Linked DNA regions of Macaca fascicularis. The protein of the gene in region 1 interacts with the protein of each later gene in a pairwise test. Links are inferred from orthologs where the notes say so. Each region holds a gene or a part of one and is shown in the gene's direction. Other genes may lie near its edges.

Region 1 (3,560 bases):
CCCTCCTTGTGATTGTGATTTCTACTCTCTTTTCAGAGCTCAGAGGGTACTTCCCCAGCTCAGCAACAGGTGGCTCTGCTTGATCTTCAGAGTGCTTTATTCTGCAGCCAGCTGGAAATACAGAAGCTCCAGAGGGTGGTACGACAGAAAGAGCGCCAACTGGCTGACGCCAAACAATGTGTGCAGTTTGTAGAGGCTGCGGCACACGAGAGTGAACAGCAGAAAGAGGCTTCTTGGAAACATAACCAGGTAAATCATTAACTATTTTATTGCCCTAAATGCTGATTTTGCCCTGATAATAACTTTTTAGCAGGATAGTTTGTGTTGAACCCTTGAATCAGTTGCATAATCTAAGTATTTCAGTTCGACACTTGCTGCCCTTGTACCATATGCTAGTTAGAGTAGTCCCCCTTTATCCACAGTTTCACCTTCCATGGTTTCAGTTATCTGGGGTCAACCACAGACAAAAAGCATTAAGATATTTCAAGAGAGACCACATTCACATAACTTTTTTTTTTGAGACAGAATCTCACTCTGTCTCCCAGGCTGGAGTGCAGTGATGTGATCTCTGCTCACTGCAAGCTCCGCCTCCTGGGTTCATGCCGTTCTCCCACTTCAGCCTCCCGAGTAGCTGGGACTACAGGCGCCCGCCACCACGCCCGGCTAATTTTGTTTTTGTATTTTTAGTAGAGACGGGTTTTCATCATGTTAGTCAGGATGGTCTCGATCTCCTGACCTCGTGATCTGCCTGCCTTGGCCTCCCTTACGTAACTTTTGTTACAGCATGTTGTTGTAATTCTTCTATTTTATTGTTATTCTTAATCTGTTAGTATGTCTAATTTGTAAGTAAACCTTTATCATAGTTATCTATGTACAGGAAAAAACAGTTATACACAGGCTTCAGTGCTATCTGGTTTCCGGCATCCACTGGGCGTCCTAGAATGTATCCCCTCTGGGTTGAGGGGTGATCACCATATTGAGTTGTGCCCTGGAAATACAAGGATGAATAGCACAGGCTCCTTTCATTTAAGTTACTTATAGTTCAGTAAGAGAGACAGTCGCATAAGCTGAGTTTCAGAGTGGTAAATTCTGAAGGGGATGTATATATGGAGTCCTACAGGAATATCTAGGAAAGGAGTCAAGGAAAAGGAATCAAGGAAAGCTTCATGAAGGAGGAGACATCTGAGGTTATTCTTGAAGGATGGTTAAAACCAGTCAGAAAAGTGGGGAAGAATCACTAAGGTCAGAGGAATGACATGCATAATAATCAGCCCTGTCTTTTATTTTTTATTTTTGAATAATAAAATATACAATTATTTTCTTTCTTTTTTTCTTTTTTTGAGACAGAGTCTCACTCTGTCACCGAGGCTGGAGTGCAGTGGTACTATCTTGGCTCACTGCAAGCTCCACCTCCCGGGTTCACGCCATTCTCCTGCCTCCGCCTTCTGAGTAGCTGGGACTACAGCCACCTGCCACCACACCCAGCTAATTTTTTTTTGAATTTTTAGTAGAGATGGGATTTCACCATGTTAGCCAGGATGGTCATGATCTCCTGACCTTGTGATCCACCTGCCTCGGCTTCCCAAAGTGTTGGGATTACAGGCGTGACCCACCATGCCCGGCCATTTTTTTTTTTTTTTGAGACGGAGTTTCACTCTTGTTGCCCAAGCTGGAGTGCAATGGTGCAATCTTGGCTCACCACAACCTCCACCTCCCGGGTTCAAGTGATTCTCTTGCCTCAGCCTCCCAGTAGCTGGGATTACAGGTATGCACCACCATGCCTGGCTAATTTTATATTTTTAATAGAGACAGGGTTTCTCCATGTTGGTCAGGCTGGTCTCAAACTCCCAACCTCAGGTGATCTGCCCACCTTGGCCTCCCAAAGTGCTGAGATTACAGGCATGAGCCACCACGCTGGGCCAAAATGCACAATTCTTAAATGGTTCCTTTATCTTGTTAGCTTAGAGCGTATATGTTTAAGATTTAAAAGATTTTTTTTTCGTGGTCTCTTTTCTTAAGCTCTTTAACACTCAGGTTTAAAAGTGTAATTTTTGAAGGATCTCCCTGGTTTAGTGGTTTGGAGATTAAATATTAGCCCTGAATTTCCTTTTGAAATATTAAAATTTCGGCTGGGCACAGTGGCTCACACCTGTAATCCCAGTACTTTGGGAGGCCGAGGCCAGTGGATCATGAGGTCAGGAGTTCAAGACCAGCCTGACCAAGATGGTGAAACCCCATCTCTAGTAAAATTACAAAAATTAGCCAGGCGTGGTTGCGGGCATCTGTAATCCCAGCTACTTCGGGAGACTGAGGCAGAGAAATGCTTGAATCTGGAAGCCGGAGGTTGCAGTGAGCCGAGATTGTACCACTGTACTTCAGCATGGGCGACAGAGTGAGACTCCATTTCAAAAAAAAAAATTAAAATTTCAGATGTCTGGGCAGGGTCAGGGAGTGGTGGAGGATGGGGGTAGAAATAATTCTTAACTTTTTGTTATTTGGCTAAAGGAAACATTTTCCCAAGATTTGTTTGGTTGATGAGAATATGTATTTTGGGAGCTCTCTAAAGTAACAGATGATTTAAAGGTTACTGACTTTCTTATCAGAAAGATAAATATGGCAAGCTAAGAAAGAAGAGTGATGGTCTCTATGAGATCTTTAGAAAAAAGGATGATAGGAATAGTTTATCCTTGAGCTTACTGTAAATAATCCAGGTTTACCATAGGACAGATTCTCATTTAATGGTTCTACACATGTATCCTTTTTAAGCCAAAAAATAAGTATTGAACTATAATTATCAAGCTTACGTCCTACCCATTCACAACTTTTACAATTTTCCATATCCCATTCAATTCATGTATAATACTTCTATAGCAGTTTTAATAATGGCATCCTCTACCGCTCTTTCAGTTTATATACCTTGAAAATTTTAAGGCCTCTATATATAACCATGTGACAATTTTAGATCTCTTAATATGTTTAATTCAGGAATTGCGGAAAGCCTTGCAGCAGCTACAAGAAGAATTGCAGAACAAGAGCCAACAGCTTCGTGCCCGGGAGGCTGAAAAATACAATGAGATTCGAACCCGGGAACAAAACATCCAGCACCTAAACCATAGTCTGAGTCACAAGGAGCAATTGCTTCAGGTGAGTTTACATGATTTCAATGAAAACTGGGCTCATAGAACTCTGAAATTTGTTTATATAAATTTAAGATATTATTCCACCAGTGTTGAGTCCCTGCTATAAGGCAAACATTGAGAGGTGGGAATCAAGAGGATTTAAAATAAATAGAAAGTATAATTTGTGAATTAAGATGCTTACTAACAAGTGTAAGAAACAGTACATATAGCCCTGATTTAAGCAGTCTTTTATGAAGTCTTTTATAAAGACTTAATATTCAGAAAATAGTTATTAAGCACCTCTGTGAGTCACACACTTTTCTGGGCGTTGGGAAGACAAAAGATTTGGCTACTGTTCTCAGTTTAATAGATGAAGACAAACTACAGAAACTTCCAGAGTCATTTTGATGATGGAATGAAAGTTTGAGGGGAAAATGGAGC
Region 2 (4,359 bases), about 83 Mb from region 1:
AATATACATATTTTTTAAAAATACTATTTTCTGGCTGGGCACAGTGGCTGACTCCTGTAATCCCAGCACTTTGGGAGGCTGAGGCATGCAGATCACTTGAGGTCAGTAGTGCGAGACCAGCCTGGCCAACATGGTGAAGCCTCGTCTCTACTGAAAATACAAAAATCAGCAGGGCATAGTGGCAGGAGACCGTAATCCCAGCTACTCCGGAGGCTGAGGCAGGAGAATCACTTGAATACAGAAGGTGGAGGTTGCAGTGAGCCAAGATCGCACCACTGCACTGCACTCCAGCCTGGGTGACAGAGTGAGACTCTGTTCCAAAAAAATAAAATAAAATTCCTGATGTGTGAAAATTATGTGAAATTCACATTTCAGTGTATCCACAACTAAAATTTTATTGGAATACAGCCCATCCATGCCCATTCACTATAGCTGTTTTGGACCTGTAACAGCAGAGCTAAGTTGTCCGACAGAGACCCCTCCCACCGGCTCAAGTAGCCTAAAATATTTGCTACCTAGGCCTTTAGAGAAAAGGATGGAGACACATGACTTACGGAAGTGAGACAGAGAGTGAAAGGGTCTGCAATTTTCCATAAGTGGTCATGTCAGATTTCATTAAAAGGTGACATCTGAGCGAGTCCTTTCTGAAGGGTGTTACCTAACCCCACGGGGCTCCCGGCCTCCGCCCAGGGAAGCTCTCCAGCTCTTACCGAAGTAGTCAAGCCAGTTCATCTGGCGCAGCGCCTTGGGGAGCCGCAGGATCTCGATGTTGTAGAGGTTATCCACCTCCTTGAGGAGGTTCTGCCTGTCTGACTCAATTTGCTTGATTCGTATTTCCACTGCGGGAGGGCAGAGCCGACAGGACACGGGTCACGGGGCGGGTGAATGTGTGCAGCTCGTGTCCCCACCCGCCAGCATCCCGCGACCGCCCCAGGAGGCCGCGACGGCCTGGCCCCTTTACCTTCACGGTCGAAGTCTTTCAGAAAGGAGGCGAGCTTCCGCCTCCGTAAGGAGTTGATCTTGGCCACCCGACTACTGCCCTTCCTAGGAGCCATGGCGCTCGGCGGAGGCTGCGGGGAGCGGCGGAGATGGGGCAGGGAGGCAAGGAACCAGGTAGGGACCAGGAGGGCGGATGGGGACCACCCGAATAAGTCGCCAGGCACGTACCTCCGGTCTCGCGACAAGGACTGAGTAAAACCTCGCTATGCCAGTGAGAGAGAGCGGCTCTACCGTCAACCGCCACCTAATTCAAACTCCACAGCCACAGGCTGACGAATGAGAAACCGCCGTCCCACAGTATCCAATCACAAGCAAGTTCCTACCTGCCCGGGGTCTCCCGCCCAATGCGCTCCCTATAGCCGGAGTGCGTCAGCGCGGGCGCCGCCGTCGCGGGTGCTCCTGGGAGTTGTGGTCCAGGCTTGTTTCCCCGCCCTCCCCACCAACCCACCCGGCTCCGCCCTGGCCGGCTGCAAACTATACAAACTGCGACTCCCGGCAGGCCTTGCGGCGGGTCCTCATTACCCCAATCTTTGAAGGGCTAGGAGCGGACTAGGTCAGGTCGGCTGTAGGATTCTGCTCCGGGGCCGGCGGCTGCTTCTTCCAGGCCTGGCTGCCACTGAGTAGCCGAGGGGCCGCCGTGACACTCTGACTGATTGACTGGTTGGCTGCCTACGTCGGCGCTCCTCAGGGCCCCAAGCTCCCCAGGCCGAACTTGGGGCAAGTGGAGGGTCGGCGGAGACAGAGCAGCCCCGACAGGGTTTGGAAGGGGTCGAGGCGGAATGACAGGGGAGCGGGGCCGGGGTGCAGGCTTTGGGGTGGGCGCGCCAGCCCGTGGCCAGTTTGGGCAGCGAGTGGGGAGAACCCTCTTGTTCCTCGCTTGCCCGCGGGCCGGCCACTCCCGTCCAGTTCGCGTCTTGGCGCCTCGACTGGGTGTGCAGCGCGGGGCCGCGACTTCAGGTGCGAGTAGTGGCGCTTGGCAGCTGCCCACGCGGTGACTGCAGCGTGAGCCGCGGCCACCACACTCCAGGGAGCCCAGGGCAGGAGGCAGCTCTGGGTGTTCTGGCCGTGGGCCTGGGAATGGGCGTGTAGACCTCGAACCCCGCTGAGCCGCAGTCCTGTCGGAAGTGCTAACTGTGCATCTTTGCATCTGCCCACAGCCACAGGGTTGGATTGCTCAAGGGTTGTGCTGAGACCCAGCAAGGCTAGAGGCTAGTTTCGAAGCTGTAGCTCAGGCTGAGTCTCAAGGCGGGCGACGACTGGACGGCCAGACCGGCGAGCTCTTGACAGGTTTGTGGCCTGATTGTTTGGATTTGGTGCTTTTCACCTGTGGATGCGGAATGAAGCCATGTCAGAGGGGTTGTTTGTGTTTAAGCGTGCATGTTATAGGCTATGGGAGTGATAATCTTGCCTCTCCCCCTCTGAGTTCAGGAACAATCAAAGAAATAAGCAAAGGTGCCAAGCAGGCTCCTGATGGGCACCAGCGAGCTTGGGGACAGAGCAGTCCAAGCATAGAAACCCTGGCAAGCCTGGCCCTTCCTAGAAAGTCCTTTCTCTCTCTCTTCCACCCTGGTTTGTTGCTCCATATACAAAAAATATTTGAATGTCGCTCTTCCGCCCAAGGTCAGCCCTGGGCAGTGGGTGGTGGGGGTGACACCCGAGTCTGCTGGGTGCCTAAGGATCTCCATCAGTTAGATGGCCAAGATGAGAGGGGACGACAACCCGTACCTCATGTAGGCTTTCCCGCAGCAGGTGTTTTTATGATGGGCAAATTGGGCTTCCAGCCTCTCGGTTTCAGGGTTTCCTTCACCCGACTCCCCAATGTGCCCGACCTCCCTGGGCACCTAGGATGTCCACCTGCATCTCAGCGAGAGCTGCCACGTCAGGAGCCCGTGATTCACTAGTTTTTGCCAGTTGGTTGTGATACACAATGTCAAAAGTGTCATTAAGGCACAGCCGAAGGCGCAAGCTGAGAGGAAAAGACTCCACAGTTAAGAGGACATGCCACCACTGCCACCCAATTTAAACTGCCGCAGGCTGACAAATGAGAAGTCGCCGTGTTTGGACGGTCCCAACATCCAGTCCCAAGGAAGCTTCAAGCCGAGTGGCCAATCCACATGTTGGACTACAGTACCCAGAAGTAATTTCGGTACTATGATATATTTTCGCGACTCAATAGCCTTGCAGGCCTGCGGAGGAGCTTTGGGGGCGGTCGCCTGTGAGCATGCGCAGAGAGACTATGGGCGCGTGGTGCTCACGCTTTGGGTGTCTTGACTTTTAAGTTTTTCCGCTGGTTTCAGGAACGCGACCGGCAGCCTCGGGCAGGGGAGACAGGACTGTAGGTCAGAGAAGAGACGGCGATTGGCCGCCGGGAATCCTCTGAAGCAGGAGACTGCCCTATCCAGGTTACCCTTCCCAAGGGGAAGCCAGGATCTCCTTCAGAAAGCTGAGGCAGGGCCGGGGCTGGTGGCTCACGCCTGTAATCCCAGCACTTTGGGATACCGAGACGGGCGGAAAACCTGAGGTCAGGAGTTCAAGACCAGCCTGGCCAACATGGCGAAACCCTGTCTCTACTAAAAATACAAAAATTAGCCGGGCGTGGTGGCGGGCACCTGTATTCCCAGCTACTCGGGAGGCTGAGACAGGAGAATTGCTTGAACCTGGGATGCAGAGGTTGGAGTGAGCCGAGATAGCGCTACTGCACTCCAGCCTGGGCGACAGAGTGAAATTCCGTGTCGAAAAAAACAAAAACAAAAAAAACCACTTCTGGAGGTGAGACAACTCCTGTGTGAACACGAGGACGGAAATGACGCCCACCCTCGACCCAGTGCCTCCCGGACTGACTTGCCACCCCAACGTGGTTATTTTCTATTTTTATCTTTTTCAGCAGAAGATGACTCAAGACCGGCCTCTGCTTGCCGTGCAGGAGGCCCTGAAGAAGTGCTTCCTGGTGGTGGAGGAGCAGCAGGGCCTGTGGCAGAGTGCCCTGCAGGACTGCCAGCCCCTCCTGTCTTCCCTCAGCAACCTGGCGGAGCAGCTGCAGGCCGCACAGAACCTGCGGTTCGAGGATGTGCCGGCGCTTCGGGCCTTCCCAGACTTAAAAGAGCGGCTGAGGCGCAAGCAGCTGGCTGCTGGTGACATCGTCCTGGACAAGCTAGGGGAAAGGCTGTAAGCAGCTCCATAGTGCTCTTTCCTGGTGGAAGGATTTTAAAACGAGGTGTTTTATATGTAGCTAGTATCAGTCCAGAAGGTGTTTTTCTCCTTGAAAGCGTGGCATTTGGAGGTATCTCAACCTTCCTCACTTACCATCTGGGGCAGTGAGACCTCTGTCAGAAAGCCATTTTCTGGCATTTTCCTTGTCAG

The links.
Region 2: the proteins of PDE4DIPP2 (region 1) and AIRIM interact in binary tests that used the Homo sapiens proteins (3 or more experiments, as listed by UniProt). The two-hybrid records come from large-scale screens. The link is inferred for Macaca fascicularis from reciprocal best matches to the Homo sapiens genes PDE4DIP and AIRIM.

Annotation. Positions count from the first base shown.
Region 1 is NC_088375.1:114,048,054-114,051,613, reverse strand, and holds part of PDE4DIPP2 (myomegalin), read left to right. Parts: intron 1-36; coding exon 37-249; intron 250-2,985; coding exon 2,986-3,144; intron 3,145-3,560. UniProt on the Homo sapiens protein: Functions as an anchor sequestering components of the cAMP-dependent pathway to Golgi and/or centrosomes.
Region 2 is NC_088375.1:197,229,343-197,233,701, forward strand, and holds the start of AIRIM (AFG2-interacting ribosome maturation factor), read left to right. Parts: upstream 1-1,503; 5' UTR 1,504-1,716; exon of another isoform or gene 1,717-1,956; intron 1,957-2,155; exon of another isoform or gene 2,156-2,156; 5' UTR 2,157-2,286; intron 2,287-2,780; exon of another isoform or gene 2,781-2,844; 5' UTR 2,845-3,040; coding exon 3,041-3,145; intron 3,146-3,216; exon of another isoform or gene 3,217-3,768; intron 3,769-3,883; coding exon 3,884-4,164; intron 4,165-4,359. Other genes in the region: CDCA8 (borealin), read right to left, coding at 711-839, 962-1,055. UniProt on the Homo sapiens protein: Part of the 55LCC heterohexameric ATPase complex which is chromatin-associated and promotes replisome proteostasis to maintain replication fork progression and genome stability.